4 linked regions of the Neodiprion lecontei genome follow. The protein of the gene in region 3 purifies or fractionates together with the protein of the main gene of each other region. This does not show direct contact. Links are inferred from orthologs where the notes say so. Each region holds a gene or a part of one and is shown on either strand. Other genes may lie near its edges. The genes, in order: transcription initiation protein SPT3 homolog, DNA polymerase epsilon subunit 3, histone acetyltransferase KAT2A and molybdopterin synthase catalytic subunit.

Region 1 (4,759 bases), on a different chromosome or scaffold from region 3:
GTAGACAAGTAGTAGTTTTTAAAAAAAATATACCATTTTATTAAAACTACGCGTATTTATAGAAAAGGGTTGAACAAATGTTGGTAGTCATTGTTAAAAATCTTGGACATGAAATCTTAGTTCAAACACGTGATTGGACAACCACAAAAGAAGCTATTATGGATTTCGATTGGACGACCATTTTCAAGTAGACAAGTTTTTTAAAGAGAAAATAGTTCTCAGGTGTTATTTCTTAGGCAATAATAAATTGTTACTGAAACAGTATTGAAACAATTTAAAAGAAATACTTTAAAAACCTCGACAAGCCGTAATTTATAAAATTAGGGCAGTTTGTAAGCGGTTGAATGTTTTAAAATGTTATCGATATGTTTAATAATAATGATAATTCGTCCAAACATAATTGACAAAATTGTATAGTTCTAATATAATAGATTTGTGGTCAATAATCAAAGGAGGAGGATACACAAATACACGTTGAATATACCTATATTGTAAATCATGACATATACTGTGATGCTGATAATGATCTTTGCATAATTGTAGATAAATTTTATTACACGACTGAAAAATAAAAAGAAAAAGAATATTGTAAGCATGTAAATCGTGAATTTTGTAAAATACGTAACAAGAAACTTCCAAAAGTAGTCATTACTTTTCTTTGTATTTTTATTCCAAATCTAGCGTTTTTCCTCAAATTATAATGTAGTACGTACGATGCTCTGTAATTTTAGAAATATACACTTGATATCATGATTATTGAGTTTAATGAGTAATATAGAACAAAATCGCAGTCATATATTGAAATATAAAACGGCCGTGGCTCGATAACAATAAATAAACTGAAGCTATTATCAACATCAACCCTGCAATTATTTTAATACAAGCTCGTACCTCCGCAGCCTATGTCTCAACAAGCAAGTAATTTTGGGTGCAGCGGACGCAGAGATGATCTGTAAAATGGCCCTGTAATATCCAGCTGTGGTGACCAATACCTCCTCAATGCCTCATTTATTTCCGACGGACTGATTGGCTTTATTACGACTCCCTGTAATCAAAGAGATTATATAATGGAACGCGGCCAATTATTTGTGACTCAGGTAAAGGAGAAGAAATCCATAATCTCGTTTACCATATTATGCTGATAAGGCTTGTAGGTATAGGGATTACAGTGGTTTAGTTTCAGCCTTTCAATAGCGTCTCCATGAATCTTACTCTGATCTTGTCGGACCACAAGCGCCAAGTCTATAATTTGCGCGACAGTTTCGTAAGCGAGATAGCTCAAAATTTGGTAGCCTTGTTTTGATATTTTCACATCATCTGTAAGCGTTGAAGATTCGATTTATGATTAGATACTGAACAGAAAAAAAATATAAGTATATACTAGAATGGTTTTTTTTTTTTCTTCTTACATAAACTTCGAAAAGTTAGTTTTGAGCCTCAAATTAAGCCTCGTGAAACCGAAGCTCGGTAGCAAAATTCTAAAAGTTTAGTTCGAGTGTTTGAAAAATTCAAACCGGATGAGTAACGTTTTAGAATTTTGCTATAGAGTTCCAGTTTTACGAGACTTCGTTTGAGGCGAAAAACTAACTTTTCAAAGGGTACATAAGAAAAAGAAACTTAAAAAAACCAACCTGATCTATACACATAATATGGTTGAATTCACTTTACCATCCGGGCATACCCAGTCGCTGAATTTGTGTCGCTGTTTGTTATTTGTGAAGGAAGCGTGCCGTGCCTTTGAGTATTCCACATATTGAATTTCATCCATTTTTCTAGTGACCATCTCTGCCCTGATCAGTCTGTTCTGTTTAACGATATCAAAAGTGCTTCTATTTTCGAGTAATTCCCCTGTATTGTCGATCAATTGAATGAAATCATGATAAGGACGTTTTCGCTTTGTCAAAACTTCGCCACCGTCAGCCTCGAAAAAATTCCCCATACTCTCTGGTTGAACCGTCTTGTGCATTATTGCTCGCAGCTCTTTTACTTCTGAAACAAAAAGAAAACAGATCAAATTGAAGGGATGTATTTAGTTTACAGAGATAGATTCACAACGTACCAAAATTAATAAGACATCAATGTAAGAAAAATACCACTTGCCTAGGTACTTCAACAGCCGTTGAACCTTGACCTTATCTTTGCGCATGAGAAAAATAAAATCTTCAGGTGTTATTATTCTATTCCCTCGCCTATCAGCAACTTCGCACGCCCTGTAAACAATTGCTCGCATTTGGTGCAGTACGACATCCTCGATTATTTTTGCTGACTCTAACAGCGGGGCTGAACTGTCGCCAAATCCATGCATCATTTGACGGATTTCTAACCAGAAAATAAGCATCAGCAATGTGGAGAAAATTGGATAATAGATAATGAACGAGCCTGCGGTATGGATTTCATATTCTTATGTCACAAACATAACCAACAGAATTCTACCTTCTTTATATTTATGTATACGTATATAATAAATTTATATATTTCACTCACCCGCTGTGTAGTTGATTGGTTCATTTTTAACGTCAGGTACACTTGTCATTTTTAAAGTAATTTTAATGTTTGTTTACGTTTTGTTGTTTCTTTACAAACACAAATTGCTAGTAGCAGACATCACATCGGCAGGTGTTCCAACCACTCTTGTTCCAAGTCTGTTCTAGGGTAGTAACCCTAGAATCTAAATGTTACTGGAGTACAGCGAAATCTAAAATAATAACGGCGCCTAGTGTCAGGCAGTTCTCATTACATGCAGTCATTACATATTCTGTGTCCAGTAGCCGCACATAATGCTATCTATCATCATAATTGCAAGACTTGCTATGCTGTACCCTTCGCTTTTTGCTAAATTCATTTCTGATATTTCCTGCTCTAGTGGGCAACCGTGCAGCTCAACCTTGAGTGGGGACTGTTTAAAGGTATTGTCGTTGTTTCGGCAAAGTATCGAATTAGTCAAATGTGTGTCTCGCGACACTCAAAATCGTCCTCACGCATGGACGCGCACTCGCGTGCAATGTTTACTAATTGCCGTCTCTGCGTCAAATCTCGCCGCTTGCCAGTCTCGCGACTCAAAACAGCAGCTGTATCTCATGTATTGTCTACTGTCTCAATATCATGTATGTGTGTAATCTATGTATTCTCTCGCTCTGTAAACCGTCAGTCTGCGCAACGTTCTCTTGCGATACTGTCTGTATCGCCGCATCAAGATCGATGAAAACCTCGCTTATCGTTAATCATTATCACTCTCCATGTCAACATCATTTCGTTTCATTTACTCTTGTCCTCAATCACTAGTTCGCGGATGCTATGTCGATGATCCATATCTTTTTGCCATCTCTCTAAACAGAATGGTATAAAATATTTTATTTTGCATATTTAATTTTATCCTTTAAAAAAATCCTTAACCCCTTGTAACCCCTTGTGACATTTCTGTAACAAACTAAATAAGATCCTAAAAAATCCATACGGAACGTATTAATGACAAGTCCTTAAATGACATTTATTTTAAAATTTGGTTAAAATAACGGTGCCATGGCCACCATTATGCGGCTGCAGCCGTCTGCTTGTGATGTTCAATTGAAACATCCGCATTAGCGCAAGGGACACAAAGAAAACTGCAGAAAACCTTTGGTCCGTGTGGCTGCCGGACCGAGTTCAAACTTCAACCCGCCAATTCGGCGCCTGAATGACGTGGCCCGTCTTACAATTTTGGCGAGCTACCGTGAAAGAGGCTGGGGATTTGAACTCAGATCCTCCCGTTCCGTAGTCTTTGACGTTACACGCTACGCTACTACGGCTGGTAATATAAATTAATTGTTTGGAGGGCAAAAGCCCAAAGATTTTATTGATGGACTATTTGAAAATTGAAAATTTAAAAATCCAACTTATTTATCTGATAGTGCAGCAAAAAGATTTATAAAAGTTATATGTATGTTATCGGATTATTTATATATTAGTATGGCATTTAATAAAGGTTGTAATGATGATATGAGTGAACCATCGTGATGTCTTTTATTTTTCTGACACTACCACATGTGCACGCGGACGAGTGGATTTCGCAACGTGAATTCTCAAAGACGAGAGCATACTTTTCAAATGTTTTGTGACGATATGATTCCTTATTCAAAATTGTTGTGGGTGAAATAGCAGTGGAAGATTACAGTTAAATCGAAAGTAACGAACAAAATTATTATAAAATATTCCGTCGTCAGCTGATACACGTATTCACACACTCTCAACGTCAACATGGCTACGGCTGAAACGCCTGCGATAGCATTTCGCTTGTTTAACGATTCACGGCACTTAGATACCACTGGAATTTATTTCACCCACAACAAAACAGCAGCTCAAATAGGTTAATTGCAGCTCCGTTGTTGGTTAAGCTCTATTTACTGATATTTTACGTTGCAAAAATTCAGTGATACTAGATGGCGTCATCATAACTTTTGGACTTGTCGCTGAGCTAGCGAGGCCTCGCGTGACGTCATAGCTAGCAATTTGAATCGTATTTTTCATCAATGTTTCTTTATGACGTTATCACGTCAAACTATCGTCCGTAAACCGACTTTACAGACAACCAATTTTTTTTTTTTTTTTATTATTATATAAAAATGGTGCTGAAGTCGTCCCTTCGAAAAAAGTTGACCTTGCTGCTGTTAATGGATTTGGTGCTTCACTTATCTGAAATAAAAAAAATTAAAAATGACCCTTAATTATTATGAGTATATCTATCGCAGGAACTAAAATGAAGAAAAAAAAATAAAAAATGATA
Region 2 (4,432 bases), on a different chromosome or scaffold from region 3:
TATGGTTGATGCAAGTAGATCCTTGGATAAAATTTTCATACTTGCATCACTATACAGACTAGACTTAATGTGCGAAGCTCAAGAGAACATGATGTTTCCAAGAAAATCATTGCATATTTATCCAGTATTTAAAAATAGTGTGAACATCTCAGAAAGCCAATGATAAAAATGCTTGGATAATATCTTGTTATTTCTACAGCTTTCTTTGTGTACTGAAATAGAGACAGAATTGAATGTGCAAGACAAACAATTTTTATTATAAAAACCATTGATATTTTTCATGGTGATGTATATTTCATTCTCAAGTTAAGTATCAAAATATTGGACAAGTTTCAACCAAAATCTATGATTCAAGTTGATGAGCACTTATCGAAAATGCAAATCATAAATATCTATGTATAATATTTATATACATTTGATATAGAATTTTTAATGTCTATTTGCTTATAAATTTTTCTATCAAAATTACATTTCTCAAAGAACGATATTAAAGAATTTAAATGTCCTTAAAAGTTTCTAAACTACTGTTAAAATATGAATAGTAAAGCCAAGTATGAATACAATTACTAATGCAGGATATGAAAATGATCCGAAATTATTCTAAACTACGAGTAATGGTAAATTTTTGCTAAATAACATTTAAGTGGTACTACTCGTTAAGAATGCCTAACTATTGGAAGGCGATGCTATATATATATACATCGCAGTTAATTCAGATGAAAAATTCTTTGATTACTAGAAATAATTAGAATTCGTTCAATTTTAATAAACAGCGCTGATCAAGAAAGGACGGCTTGAGTAGTCAATAATTTTATGCTAGTCTTTCTTTGCCTGTTTTGTAAACATAAAGTGCCATATATACACATACAATTAATTCTTACATATAAGATATTATTGCGATGTGTTTACCTATGTAAAGTAAGTAAACGGAACTGAGATATAAGCTAGGCATAAGATATAACTTTATAATATAGTGAAGGAGAAAACACAAAGTAAACCAATATTACAGAGCGAAATATGGATTCGATAGGCATGTCTCTAATTGATTAGACTTGCTACTATTGTTAAACAGAATACTAAACACTGTTCGTAGTGAAATGAAAAATTCCATTAATTTAGCATAGAATGTTCGAATTGTAGTCATTTCCTATACTGCACATTCTGCACTTGATTTAAAAATCCACATAGAAAGAACATTGCTAATCTTTCTTATTCTCATACGGAGTTTTAGAACATGCGGAGTAAATGTTTTTTAACCCTATAGTCTATACCTACCATTACTGTAAGCTCGCAAGATTGTTCAATTATTGATCTAATGATATTGAATGAAAAAAAAAAAGAAAACTACATATATATGTATATATATATTACTATGTATATTATTATGTACCCATTGAGATACACACTTTTACGAACGATTTCTGCATAAATATTATGTAATCTATTTACTCTCACACCAATATTGTCTTATATACAATTAATAAAATTTTCTGAGACTGTTTGCATATTGTTCGTCATACAATTCAATGCCACAAACTATTGAATTCGTGATACAATTCAAAAAAGCGGAAGCCTGGTGACTCACCAAAACTTTGTCAGAATAGTATGCAACCCTTCCATCACACGACCCACTTGTACAAAATGTATTGCAGTAATGATTTTGTAAAAGCACAGGTGTCACATTAACGATTCATAATAATGTCAATTTGGAAAAGGAGAAAGTAATAAAACATAAGTAGATACTTCGAGGGGAAAAATAATAATAATAATCAGGATTTGAGTGAAAAAAAAAAATATTCTTATATTATTCAATATAAATTGTGGTTTACACACAGCCTATACATATACTTAAGTTAAAAATCCGATGTATTAAATAGTGTGTGAATGTAAAAAATGCAAAAAAAAGTAGAAGCTACTCAGCGTCTTCGCAAACGATTTCTTCCACTTCTTCGTCATCTTTCTTCTGTTGTTTTCTCTTTGTAGTCGCATCCTTTTTTTCCTTTTGTGACTTTTTGAAATTTTCCAATGCCTCTTGGAGCGGTTCAAGAAATTGGTCAAACTCAATTTCTTCAATAGCTTGAATAACGTCAGTACCACTGATAGTTTTTCTTTTTCCTTTTTTAGCGATTGTATTGGCAGTTGACGTAATGTACAATATAAAAATCGAAGCAGCTTTTGCGACCGCCGCTCGTGCTTCCTTGCCAATATTGACTCCGTCCGGCAGAGATTCCTTAATTATTCTTGTTACAACAGCATTAGGGAGATTCAAGTCTTCTAATCTCTCAGCCATCTATTGAGGTGAAGCATTATTCGTTAATTCGCGAAGAGAGAATTTCAAAATTATATTGTCGTGAAATATTAAAACACGTTTTACAATGGCAGAAAAGTCGTCGAAAAAAGTGAGAGAAATTTTGAGGTTATAAAAACTACGATACCGAGAATTTAGACAACGTGATGAGAAAAATTGATGTACTTACCTTTAGCTTTTACGATTGAATGATTTTCAACGGAAGGTAAATAAAAAGTAGAATATCAGCAAGTGGTGACGTTTCAATTGAGTTTTACTTCGTTTTCGCCGATATTTCAATCAGATTTTATAAGTAATTATTGTATCACCGAGGGACGCGACTGTGAATTTGAAAATCAAATATAAACATGTCGTGTATTCGCTCCATAAACTTCATTCGCGGTAGGGTGATGTTTTTTATTTTATTTTTTTTTTTCCATCATGCGATCCTGAGACGCCATCTACAGGATTTTACAAAGTACCATATTTTCGTCTAGTTTTCGTGACTCATTGTCAGGACATTTGCAAATGAGTTTACGAACACGCCCAAGGTTTCTGCTTCGTAGTACGGAATACGTCGTCTGCATTTCACGGATTGAATTGATTTGACACAAGAAAATTTGACAGTAATATTTTTGCGGAAAAACAAAGTGATTTTACAAACGTGAGCCAACATTTTGAGAAAAATGTCGAAAATGGAGGAAGGAATGGCCCACATTCGGCAGGCCGAAAAAAGGTGAGATTTTTTTCTTAGTACATCAATCCAAATTAGAAAAGAATTTGATCATTTTAATTCCCTAACCAGTAAAAACGTACCATTAATTTAGATCATAATAATTTATTAATTTTCTCCCCTAGTTTAAAAACGTCACTTTTAAAGTGGAGACCTGATTTTGAAATCGCTGCTGATGAATACTCCCATGCGGGTAAATATACCATGCGATAATATATTTGCGCGCCTCATTACTGTCAATATTTAATCTTCTCCTTCCACTCAACAGCCACCTGTTTTCGAAATGCAAAAGCTTTTCAACAGTGCAAGGAATGCCTAATGAAGGCTTCAGACTGTCACAAACAGAACAGATCGTATCCTTTCAGACATCGATCGGTGTTTTTTGAATTTTCATGGTTTACTTTTTTATTAACGATGAATTCTATACATAATTTTCTTATGTCGAAATCGAAAGTTCTTGAATCAGTATAAAACATGCAGATCATGCGTCATAGTTTTCATCTGTTTCGACGAAACAATTTTTTCTCTGGTTTATAGTTAAATCCTTAATTAGTTTAATAGATGGTTTCACGCTGCAAAGTAAGTATGGCCAATTGACTCAAAGACTCAAGCAGACTTTAAAACTTGGAAAACGATGCTTGGTTTATAGAAACTGAACATACGGTATTTTATCAAGTGGATGAAAAAAAGCGAAAATGAAAAATATTTTCCAAATACAGAATGATAAAAACCAATGTATGCAAATCAACATTGTTTTTGTTTCAAACAATTATCTCAAGTGTTAAAATAATTTACCGAACCATATTCGTTTTAATTTGATCCAGATCTAGATCAAACCTAGATCAGATCTAGTCTTAGCATTCTTTGCCATGGCTATGATTTTACTCCCAAATTGTACGAAATTGATATAAAACAAATATCCGTTTTCATAAGTATAAAAGGCTTTCTAAAAATAGTTTGCATAAGCACCTTCAAAAAAAAAAAATGTTGAGCATACAAATAGTGGTTTCATAAACTAAATAAAGTGACTAAAAATGTTGTGTAGGAGTATGGAACAGGCACTTCTAGTGTGCAAGGAATTAGGAAATTTAACCGAAGTACCGAAATTGGCACATTCTGCATGTTCGTTATATCAGCAACACGGCTCACCTGAATCAGGTGCTTCGGTACTGGATAAAGCAGCTAAATTATTGGAAGCTACTGAACCCGCACAAGCTCTGGAGTTGTACAAGCGTGCAGCTGATGTTGTTATGGTATAAGAAATAATTTCATAATGACAAAAAGCCTGATAGTATTTCCAGCGTTAGAGATTAAAAAATAATACGGCTATAAAATGTTACAGAGTGAAGACAGTCCGAGACAAGCGGCTGAATACATGAGCAAAGTAGCTAGAATTCTAGTAAAACTAAAAA
Region 3 (6,615 bases):
TGCTTGTTAAAATATGGTAAGTATGTAGATAGAACTCAGTTTCATCGGTTGCGTGGCAGAGTTTCCCATTGCTGTGAAACAATGATAACAGCATGAGCTTTGTTGATAAAACACGATACTATTGTCTCGAAAAATCACTATTGTTATAAAAGTATAAAATTAAGTTGGGTATTCCCCGGTGCCAGGAAGATACATCTGCATTATATATCTTCTTCAAACATCCGGTTCGATTTATGTTATAGATACGCGAAAACCTGCATATTTGCACAAAGTGATCTGACAATTTTTCTGCATAAACTTTTTAAAACTCCAAAACTAGTTTTCAGTTTTTTGTAGAAAGTTATAAAATTTTTTTTCGAATACTGGAAAAAAAAAATATCCAAGACTTGTAACATCTGTTCAGAATCTGTTTCAGAAACGCAAAAAATGCAAGAGTATTATAAATCTTCCTACCAGAAAGAGATAAGAAACTTTCTCAAAGTAATTGGAACCCATTGCTGACCACAATAGAATAATTTGACTTTCTTTTTATATCTATTACTCGAATACAAATTTGCGATAATAATAAAAGAAATTCGTTTATTTCGTCTAAATAATGAATGAATCACGAGCAGTAGGAAAGTTTTATTCAAGCAACATATCATGACTGCTATCGTGAACTTGAGAAAAGCAGTGTTCCAGAGACTGACCATGAAGAGAGGCATTATTATAATCACTGCATTACATTAATTAATTACCTATTTGGCTAGTTACATTAATTAGACCATGAAGCAATGTAGTTGAACTCCAATGCAATGGTTGAAAATACCGTGCCCAAGTAAATTCTTGAATGTTTTACTCAGTCAATTTTTTCGGCAATAGTATTCAAAACCTGAGTTGTACATCGATTCATACGAAAATTCCTGGGACTGATTATATGAATTTCTCTCTCCTGCCGTAAATGTGTCTTTTAAGGAATTTCCAAATTGTCATTTAATCGATAGAAATATATTTACAAAAGTCAGTTATCTTTATTTAAACATATATTGTATGTATACTACATATACATAAGTATGTATATCCATGGATTATTCACTTGCAGCACCTGACCAACATTGCTTAAATCGAAATTGAACTAATCAGTAGCTAATCTTAATTCAAATTATTCTCCAATTTATGATAATATATACAGACGGCAAATTGTGGAATCACATTTTCGTAGTTCTTTACTTTGTGAGGCCCCTAGCTCTAAGAACAACTCAGATTAAACATATGTTTTACATCCTTTTGAAACCCGAAATATTTACCTACACAAGTCATTGACAAATTAATTAACGCAGATTTTCGAAACCGTATTCATTTGAAAACGATTTTCTCCTAAGTATCATAGTACGCAATAGCATACATCGGGTAACTCATAGTTTAGCATAATAAATAATAAAAGTGTTTAGTGCATAAAGCACAACGCGTCATAAAATCAGTACTCAGCCATCAGTTAGGTGAATATCAATGAGTTTGCACTGCATAATTAATACGATGCTGTAGAATAAATGGGGAACAATCACTCTAAACTTGATGAAGTCATCATTATTTATCCCAAAGACCTATTTCCTTCATTCTTGTTTGAAAATATTTTTCCAACGCATTGGCACATCTATAATATTCCGTATCCGGGCTGTTGTACAATCGACAATTTGTAAATATTCGTGTCATATCAGCTATAAACAATCGCCGAGTTACATAATATCTGGCCTTAAGACGGTCGCTCATAGTTTTTAAGTCTGAAAATATGACAAAATCATTAATCATCATTATCTTTATTACAATAATCGATGCATATGTAACATATTTACCCATTGGATATTTGATGTGATCATAATAATCAGGGACATCATTTTTATCAACAGGCTTTAGGAACGGCCATGCAGTGCTATTATTTTTCACAGTATTCAAAACACTTTTTAAGGCGTTGTATAATGAATCTGTCACATCCAAACAAGCCTCCATTGGCTCTGGTCCCTGCGTTCCTTTCGCGACGCCTCTCGTTCTTGTTTGAGCATAACTTTTCCATCCAGTTTCCCGTATTCCTGGGATAGATTCTACAGGAATTCCTCGCACACCCTCTTTGAAGCAGGTCAGGCCAGGATGCACCTTTTGTATTTCTTGTTGCCTTTGATATATCAATTTTTTGATTATTTCTTTCTGTTTTCTTATAACTGCAGTGAATTCTGTGTACACAATTTTAGCGTTAAGTTCACAGTGCATCAGAGTAGCACCTTCGTAGTCTTTGATATACCCTTGGTACATGGGTCTAGACATTTTTATGTCCTTGCTAAAACCCTGCTTCTTGAAGTACCCGATCGCAAATTCATCAGCAAACGTTAAAAAGTGCAGTATATTGTTTTTTATATGATAATCCTTGAGCATGTTCATCAAGTGTGTACCGTATCCTTTGACTTGCTCTTGACTTGTCACAGCGCAAAATACGATTTCCGTAAATCCTTGGGTTGCAAACATTCGGAAACAAATTCCACCAATAGGCCTACCATCTTTGATAAGCGCCAAAGTTTTATGTTTTCTGTTTAAAGATATTAAAAGAGAACCAGAAGTAAGAATGAAACTTGAAAGTTTTGTAAAAGAGATAAGAATTACTCACGGATCGAAGACTAGTTGAGATATATATTCTTTTGGCATTCTGGGTAATTGGTGACTGAAAACGTTGTGTAATCCTATCAACCAGAGCATAGTTTGCTTCGATACTGGTTGTGTCAGGCTGTTTCCAATGACATGGAACTCTATAATCTTTCGACTTTCCTCAATTTTTGCAGTTTCGTCTCTCGGCACATTTGGTGGGAAGACTGCGTCAGGTCCGCACATGTAGTTAGGATCATTTATCGTCGCTACAATTTCTGCTACAGTTTCTTCCGGCAAGTCTTCGAAAGCTTCTTCATTTTTACGTCTTTTCAAATCAGGCCTTCCCTCTGAGTGAGATCGTTTTTCAGGAAGTTTTTTTAGCCCTGGGCTTATATTTATTGTCGTATAATTGTCTTTGTCATTGTGCGCTACACTGATTTTCTCGAATTCACCAGGCCGTCGTGAGTGATTCCCCTTTGATTCTAAGGCAGCTTGTAAATGTGATGGCGGTACTTGTTTGAACTCTGGATCCCATATAGGAGAGCCATCAGAGTATATTTCTACTTCTAGCATAGATAAAAACCTGTGGATCAGAAAATGTGGCATGTAGTGATTTGGAATATACATTTGGAATTAGTACAATCGAAAGTTTCTGTCTGTTATAAATCTAAGATTTAAGGAAAAACGTTACACATACTTGGGAAAGTGCGTCAGGACTAGAACTCTCTTTTCAGGTGACATTCTGTCTCGTTCGCTATGACATTTGTCCATGAGTTGTCTGCAGACTGATTTGAATACAGCTTGAAGTAAAGTTCTTCCAAATACGAGTGTAGTATCGTAATGTGGTAAAGAATCGCAGAAAGCTGGTACATGACAAAAGACAAGCCAGCGTGTGTAGTTTATTTTATATGCGGGTGCTTCTTCGGCGTTACCAGCAGTTCTTCTAGCACTTGGAGTCTCGAAATTCCAATGATTTAAACAGTGCAAAAACATCTTGGCTAAATCGTACATCGCTTGCCATTCGCGTTGGGATAAATGGCCAAATTTGTAGAGCACAAAATTAGTTATAGCCTTGGCTATGCTAGGCCTCTCAAAAGGCGGCTGACCCAGAGGTCCCTCTATTGTCGGTTTAGTCATAGACAGGATACATTTTCGCAAAAGTTTAAATAAATAGTAATAGACTTTTTTTGTATCCGGATCCTCCTCCCTGTGCATTCCCATGAAAATGTTATCAACATCGATGACCATGCCGAGTAGTTTGTTAATTTCGTCATCGCTTTGGGATTGCAGATGTGTGATATGCTTTTCAAGCACATGGGTGCAGCTTCGACATGGATCGGAAAAGTTAGCAGCTGGTTGCTGCATGTCATTCTTTGGACACTTAGTCAATGGTTGAGCGTTCTTCCATCCGTTGCATTTGCACTCGTCGGCTTGGCATGAGCTGTAATTTGCCAGTTTCAATAGCTTTTTTAACTGGGGCCAATTAAAAACTTGATGTTTGCGTTGCTGAATCCTCTGCAAGTTGTTCTGGCGACTAGCTTGGTCCGTACCTCGTGGCGAACTTGACTCTGCGCTGTTACTGCTCACGAGGTTTTGAGATGTACTTGTCACGGACTGCACTCGATCCTCAGACGACATACCTGACATGGTTCTGGTAGTTTCATCCATTGAAATGATTTTCTAAAATTACTACACCTGAAAAATATCAAATTTATGACAATGTTTATGTTCAATAGCATGTTTCTTGATTTCCCAGATTTGTATAATGAATTATCAGTGGGAATTAAAATGTGTATTACTTTGGATTATATATTCAAATCAGAAATTATCGTATCTATGAATTAAAAATCAATTACTGATTTTTTACCAAGAAATAGCTGGTTATCGACTCTACTCATTGAAGGAAAATTGAATTTTGAACTTTGCGAGAAGGGTAAATTCAAGGTTACGCAGGCCGGGTAAATTGTTGACAAAACATTGAGACAAAGTACGTGATGTGAATTTGAAATTGAAGTCAATGCGACGCAAAATCGTTACGAAATAACCGAGATTTTCATTCGTGAGATACCCGATGAGTATAATTATCGTTGGCGCAATGTCCTTTTTGACAGTTTTAATTTTTCGCGCAAATATCGATGGCTGTGGGTTGTGCGTACAGCTGAGAAAAAAAATACTCTCAAGTAGGGATTATTTAATCATTTATCATCACCACGTCGAGGGTATTCCAAGTGCGGATAATTAAACATGTATGATAAATAGGTCTAAATTTACGACAAGAACAATAATGAATTGTAATATGTTTATTTACCAAAGCTTCCGTTCACATATTATTGTAACGCTGCGCCTCCATTTGTTACGTGATTTTAGTTCGTCCGAACGCCACGTTCTCAAGTGATTCGCACGGAGCGTTTGCCTACTTTTAATTTTGATTTAACGCTGGTAAGAAATAAGTAAAAATATTCCACCTTACTTTCCTTATCAATATTCGCAACGCTGCGCTAGTCGTCGGATTGAAATACCCCAAACACCCTTAACTAACCCGCGCACAAGTCGACGACGCATTTTATCAGGTATGTGCGTAAATTTACTCCGTTAAAAGATATTGGTTAAACTATGGAGTTTGGTTAGTTCGTTTGAGATCAGCTTATAACCAGATCATTGCACCATATTGCCCCACTCTTGAAGTTTGCAATCCTTCAACTCATTTCCAGAAAGTCGTTGGAGGCAAGCCACCCTCTGGTGGAGTCAGAAGCCGGGGAAGTCCCTTTGCCATTGCGGCATTGCCATGGCAAGCTGGGATGGGTCTTATTATGGGCCTGAGGACCCAAATTTTCATCGGTATTCGGACCAGGGGAACGTGGCGCGCAACTGGAGCTATTATCCTGAGAATGGCTCCAACGTGCAGCCGAGTATCTCGAACCTGGGTCAACAGCACTTAGCCAATGCCTATCAGGATCCGCAAATGGCTGGTGGTACTCAGTATGCAAGGCCACAGCCTTTCTTTGAGAACAATAGATCGCAGCTTAATCTTCCGCCATTCAAATGCAAAAGTGGGAACCCGAATGACAAACTTAAGAAAAAGAATTACCACGGTAAATTACCGTTTGTCCCTCAGCAAACGATTGATCCCAGTGTCGTTGAGAATTCAAACCTGCATGCAACCGCTGGTGAGTTTATACCTAGCTCCTTGAAGGCGCTGCAAACAGCTGGGACAAACTCGTCTGCCAGTAGTAGTGAAAATAATGGCAGAATTATGCTGGAAAATTATGATTCCTCAACTCAGCATTCGGGAAATTTGACCTTCCACGATTCGAACATGCCGAAAGTTGACCATGTGGATATTAGAAATAAGCGAGATAAGAAGGATAGGAAATATGATGCAAATAAAAAAGGCGATAGTTATAAGCAGAGGGATACTCAGGATGCTCAATATCAAAATACCAATTTGTTTAAGAATTCTGTCAGGAATCAGAATCCGAAGAATCGCAGATTCCAAAATGATAGGTATTCTAACACCAGACATTATTCGGATAATAGTTCTAATTATACGAGCGATAAGGATAGCGATAGAAGAAAATGGACAGGTAATTCCAGTGTTCGAGAAAATTTTGAAAACGGTTCATATCACGGTGAAGAAGACGCAACTCAATCTGTGGAGGGGACTGTTAATAAGCACTATAAAACCTCTAGACATGATAATACCCGACAATCTGGTGGTTCAGCCAAGTATTACGGCGATCAAAATTATTCTAGTCACAATTCTGAGATGAAGTACAGTCAAACGGGTGGTAAGAGTGTTAGAAGATATTTTAATGAAGATCGTGGAGAACGGTATCGTGATAAAAGAGACAGATACAGTGATAAGTATGAATCTGGGATCAGGGAGAAGAAAACTAGCTATGCAGATTACAATGGATACAAAAATAATTATGAAAGAGAGGAAAGAGGGGAACGGAGCAGAGACAAGGATAAATCTAAGGATAAGGATAATTCAAAAGGTAT
Region 4 (5,034 bases), about 25 Mb from region 3:
CGGTATAGGTAACATTCTCTTTCACAACTTGCAAGAAGCAAGTACCTTGTTACACCGTGTATACCTATTACAGCAACGTTGTCCTTGCCCCACAGCAACTTGCACATTCTTTCCTAGCTCCGGATTACCAGTATTCTCGATCCACCCATATCTATACTTAACTATGAGCACATTGTATTGCACGCGTACGCCTGCATACATTTGAATACTTACCCAAGGCCATCGCATGCTAACGCTATACACAGAGATACTAGCCTAGCTAGTCCATAGCTAGTCACCGTAGACGTTGTGTATTAGCTTTGAAACAGTGACGGTACGTATGAAATTGCCGTGCTACCATATGCCCTTGATCGATCATTTTGTACAGTGTAGCTACTATAGCTGTAATGTTAATTGACAAGAATCGAGTCGAAATGGAATAAATAGAACGTAATTCCGTATGAAATATTTTTCAGATTGTATGTCGTACAAGTATTTATTTTTATTGTATAGAATAGAACTAGAAAGAATATGATTGCACCAACATCTTGCACAAGGCTACTGCGTCTTTAAACTATACCACTACTTACGAGTTACTACCATAGTGCCACTCTCAGCTTTGTCCGTGATAGTTGTTCAATCATAGGTTTTTTTCTGGACACATACGCAGTGCGCCTTTTGCTTTCTGTATTTTACAATTTGAAGTCAACACCTATACTTTCATACCGTACATAATTATTTCCCAAGTATCATGACAGAACTGGTATAGTTCAAATAAGCAATTGAATATTCCATTTAGATTTCAGCGTAGCTTTGTATACAAGTATCACGAGCGCTTCAGCTTTGAAATAATTCCCATATTTCTACCAGACAACTTGCACGCTCATTTTCCTCCAAATGGAGGTTCTTCGATAAGATAATACATAGGCGATATTAATTTGACTGCGATGTCACCAGATGTGAGGATGCCGATGAATGCATGATAAAATATGCGTAGATAGGTATACCTATGCATATATATTTTATATAGATATATATAAATGTATATATATATATATATATATATATATATATACATATATATGGTTCCGTTACTTTTAACAGTACAGTTCCTGCTTTCGCATTCTAACTGGATTTCAGGCAGGTAGATAGGTATCTATTTTTCGTGCAATAATAAGGGCCCACGCCTGGCCGTTTTGTGCGACCATACTTCCCGTGACCTCATTCCGCCTTTGACCTGATTATCAAAAGTGCATTCGGTTTGGTCTAGTGAGGCGCCAGCTAACAGGTGTTACGTCATCACCACGGGCGTCAGCCTAGCAACAATTTTAAGGTCCAAGAATTGTCGAGCAGCTTGTCAATAAAAACAGAAATTTTTGCAACAGCAATAAATTGGTATGTATGGAGGAGATAACAGTAGAATTATACGTCAATTTGACGACTGATGAAGAAAGGCTGATTAATCACAGTTCTCCTTTTCGGCACGTTTCCGGTATCAGCGTTTTTCGACCGTACCGTACGCAAACATAACCTCGTTATGCTTCGTTACCAACTTTCCACCGATCTATTGTTCCGGGAAAATATTTCTTACGTAACGAGATAGTATTGGCTAATACCAATCGAGTAAACAGTGAACAATAACAATGCATGTGTTGAAAACATGTGTGGTGCGATAAAGGTCTATGCAAGTGCCAAGCAGAGCCAGTCGCTGTCGCCACTCTGTCGCCCATAGTTTATGATGGATGGAGAATCACGAGATTCGCTGGTAAAAATTCTCTTTTTCGCCAAGGCTCGCGAGTTGTCCGGCCTGAAAGAGTCTCGGGCTAAGCTGCCGGCTAACATCTCTTACCAATCTTTGTTGGATACAATTATTGAGAAATTTGGTCTCGAAAGTATTCGCGATTCTGTTATCTTATCTCTCAACGAAGAATACCTTGCAGCCAACGGAACGCTTAACCTATCCGACCAGGACGAAATTGCTGTTATTCCCCCGCTCAGTGGAGGTTAGTTTATCAAACATATTAACATTTATTTCAATTTATTTACATTTAATCATAATAATGATCAAACTACTTTGACTGCTCAGCGAAAAAATGAGAACTACGTAATTACAAAAGGTATACGTTTCTTCCTGACTGTTTTCGCACAAATCTTCTATCATGGGCATCTTTCGGAACCTTATTTCATTCAAGTAGTGAAATATGTTTTTCCGCCACATTCATAATAATACTATGCCGCAACGAGCGGCTGTACCATTCTCTATAGGGTCGAAGTTATGTTTCAGGATTGGGCAGTTGCCAGTATCAGTATCTTATCCTCGTATTGTACAATGCTGATGAAAATCGACATGAATACCATAATCATTTCCAGCTTTATCGCCGAAGGCAAGGAATATGAGGGTACCTAGAAGAACGTTTGTATTATTACATCCAACATTCAACAGCTTATTACAAAGTCTACTGGAATTTATGTGCCTTTAATTTTTAATTACCATGACAGCTCTAAACACAAGAGTATTGAAAAACCCAAGTTTGAAGAAAATAAACTGTAATTGGCTTAGCCATACGCCGTTTAATGTTGGATCACCACAAACTGCCAGAAACAGGCTCAACAATATGGATGTTCTTCCAGGAAACACAATATTCATTGATAAAATGTTGCACATAATTAACACAATTTTCGGAGAAAAGATTATTTAAACTCATTTCCCAGTATGTGTTACTTATCCAAAAATCTGAATTCGGCTCTTTTGTTCATAGCTTATAAAGTCTAGCTAAAGTCTAGACCATTCTTATGGAGGAGCAAAGCGTAGTAATAATGCCGAAGTTAGTAACCTTTATGTAACCAAACATTGCGGGGAGAAATTGTTATTTTGCAAGGTTATAGTGAGTTTGAAGTAGTTAGGTTTTCAAAATATGAAAAAGAATACAGTTTGCCTCATTATGATTTACTAAATTTCAGAGATTCCTGCAGCTGAGAAATAGCAATTTTTTAAAACGTTAATCATTGTAATAATATTATTAACTTCAGCCTCAAGCCTAGTAAAAGGAAACTTATTGGAACTGAATCTTGTCATTGGTTCTTGAGATATTGTTCGCGCTATTTTCAAATAATAGTTCTTGATTACAAAAAAGGAGTTTTTTTTCAGGGTTTTTCAGTATTTATGATATTTCAAATTTCTTAATAATGATCCAGCCTTTTAGCAAAGTATTCTTGGAAAATTTATGAGCTCAAAGTTTGCAAAGCTAAGATGAAGGAAAATTTTTTTTAAATCATGATTTTGGAACTTTAGTATGACTGAAAGAGTTACGTTTGCAAAATTTCATATTTATGCTCTGCTTTTATTTGAGTCAACTACTGTATTATGGACAACTATAAAGTTGCTAAATAATGATCAGACGGAAAAAATTCATCATTACGTTAATGTTACAAAGTTCAGCTTTACGATTATTTTAATTACTTACGATATTAACGTAAACGATTTAAATATCACCTTCAGTTTACTCTTGAATCTACAATGAGTTGCATTCACGAAGATTTGACATGCAGGGTCTGCTTTGATTCTTTAATCATTATCAAGAATTTCGATTTGTTTTCAAATTATTCAGTAAGAATTTCGGCCTTGACTTTAGAATTGTACTTATAATCGTGATTGTTCTCTGTTTTTAATACTTTTGGTTTCTTTGTTATGCTGTAAATTCCAATAGTCATTTTTGGGAATATATTCACAATCACAGTCTTTGTTGCAGGTTAAGATGAATGACTCAAAAGATGTCATTAAGCTGCAGACGGAACAGTTGAATATAGGAGGCATAATTAATCTGGTAGTTGCAGCAAATTGTGGAGCAATATCCACTTTCATTGGTACAACTCGGGACAATTTTGAAGGAAAGAAGGTACACAATTACTTGTACTCTAAGAAATTTAGAAGTTGTCACTGCATATGTAAAAAGGAATATCAATCATTCCATTTATTTGGTCATAATTTTTCTGACAATCGAACTGTGAAATCTAATTAATTTTGTTATAATGTTGATAAAGCAGACAAGTATCTATATTATTATTAGTATCCCTATTAATATAATTTCGGGAAAATACGCTACAAGTGATTTTATACTATCTCGTATTAATTGTGTCTGGATTTACATATCGGTTTTGCAGACTTTAGTTAATATTTCACGACCAGCGATGCCACTACGTTTTTTTACCGATATTTGGCCTTTGGCGGGGGGGCATGCGTATGTCTAACAATGAGACAATTTTATACAATGAAATAAAGGTTTGATCCTAATAGTATACATAGGAGTAGATCAGAATTCTTCAATCTTAAAGTTGAGGAGTCTGGAAATAGAAGGACTTCGAAATGACATGTGTCAATGACATTATGTAAATGTGGAACCTGGAACATTAGGAAATCAGAAACAAAATTATTTCTCTTATACAAAAATTACTATTCAGTATTCAAATCTCTTTATTCATTTGAACGAAGTTAGATACAAGTTAACAGGTATATATCAGATATTGTATCAATTTATGCAGCATGAAAGCCAAGTGTATGAAAAAGTAATCAAGTTGCGTTTTTCAAACAAATACAGTACAAATTCATATAAATCGAGTCGTTTAATTCAAGACAGATCTGAAGAATTTTAACTTTGGTTACTCTAATTTATTTTTTAACTAAAATTTTTTTTTAAAATGCGCGTAAAATGTGTTTGAAAAAAATTTCTATGTTCCAAAATCCAGGGCAGGGATTTCCATGCCATAAAAATGTCGAGGTCTGGTTTATACCATCCATGCTGGCAATGACGCCACTGTTCATGATGCTACAATTTCTTGGAAAGGAGTACTGACTCCTTCAGCTGATCAGAGTGGGGCGCACAGCGCCGCGGTTTTAGAGAATTGAAATGGTGTGTGAAGCGACCCTAATTCATATAAAATTTCGCAGAAAGTATTACCATAAAACATCAGAGAATTTGATAGAAAATCTGGAAATGAGGCTGTATTGATGGCATTTTTTGAATAACGTGTTCACTATTACAACTAATTTTTTCTACC

The links.
Region 1: the proteins of histone acetyltransferase KAT2A (region 3) and transcription initiation protein SPT3 homolog purify together in Drosophila melanogaster (affinity purification with western blotting; 3 studies listed by BioGRID, with this or other methods). This does not show direct contact. The link is inferred for Neodiprion lecontei from reciprocal best matches to the Drosophila melanogaster genes Gcn5 and Spt3.
Region 2: the proteins of histone acetyltransferase KAT2A (region 3) and DNA polymerase epsilon subunit 3 purify together in Drosophila melanogaster (affinity purification with mass spectrometry; 3 studies listed by BioGRID). This does not show direct contact. The link is inferred for Neodiprion lecontei from reciprocal best matches to the Drosophila melanogaster genes Gcn5 and Chrac-14.
Region 4: the proteins of histone acetyltransferase KAT2A (region 3) and molybdopterin synthase catalytic subunit purify together in Drosophila melanogaster (affinity purification with mass spectrometry; 3 studies listed by BioGRID, with this or other methods). This does not show direct contact. The link is inferred for Neodiprion lecontei from reciprocal best matches to the Drosophila melanogaster genes Gcn5 and Mocs2B.

Annotation. Positions count from the first base shown.
Region 1 is NC_060262.1:4,441,810-4,446,568, forward strand, and holds transcription initiation protein SPT3 homolog, read right to left. Parts: upstream 3,000-4,759; 5' UTR 2,534-2,999; coding exon 2,485-2,533; intron 2,320-2,484; coding exon 2,101-2,319; intron 1,990-2,100; coding exon 1,669-1,989; intron 1,318-1,668; coding exon 1,130-1,317; intron 1,046-1,129; coding exon 908-1,045; 3' UTR 892-907; exon of another isoform or gene 720-891; 3' UTR 690-719; downstream 1-689. UniProt on the Drosophila melanogaster protein: Component of the transcription regulatory complex SAGA, a multiprotein complex that activates transcription by remodeling chromatin and mediating histone acetylation and deubiquitination. The SAGA complex predominantly acetylates histone H3.
Region 2 is NC_060261.1:6,080,423-6,084,854, forward strand, and holds DNA polymerase epsilon subunit 3, read right to left. Parts: upstream 2,701-4,432; 5' UTR 2,478-2,700; intron 2,291-2,477; coding exon 1,913-2,290; 3' UTR 639-1,912; downstream 1-638. Other genes in the region: gamma-soluble NSF attachment protein, read left to right, coding at 2,974-3,023, 3,146-3,213, 3,289-3,373, 3,582-3,599, 4,066-4,273, 4,363-4,432. UniProt on the Drosophila melanogaster protein: Accessory component of the DNA polymerase epsilon complex. Participates in DNA repair and in chromosomal DNA replication. Histone-like protein which promotes nucleosome sliding of ATP-dependent nucleosome remodeling complexes.
Region 3 is NC_060263.1:36,091,666-36,098,280, forward strand, and holds histone acetyltransferase KAT2A, read right to left. Parts: upstream 5,017-6,615; 5' UTR 4,922-5,016; intron 4,309-4,921; 5' UTR 4,282-4,308; coding exon 3,311-4,281; intron 3,197-3,310; coding exon 2,636-3,196; intron 2,558-2,635; coding exon 1,833-2,557; intron 1,761-1,832; coding exon 1,567-1,760; 3' UTR 699-1,566; downstream 1-698. Other genes in the region: protein shuttle craft, read left to right, coding at 1-16, 5,325-6,615.
Region 4 is NC_060263.1:10,688,675-10,693,708, forward strand, and holds the start of molybdopterin synthase catalytic subunit, read left to right. Parts: upstream 1-1,987; intron 1,988-3,728; 5' UTR 3,729-3,734; coding exon 3,735-3,875; intron 3,876-4,722; exon of another isoform or gene 4,723-4,883; coding exon of another isoform or gene 4,884-4,886; intron 4,887-5,034. Other genes in the region: molybdopterin synthase sulfur carrier subunit, read left to right, coding at 1,715-1,987. UniProt on the Drosophila melanogaster protein: Catalytic subunit of the molybdopterin synthase complex, a complex that catalyzes the conversion of precursor Z into molybdopterin.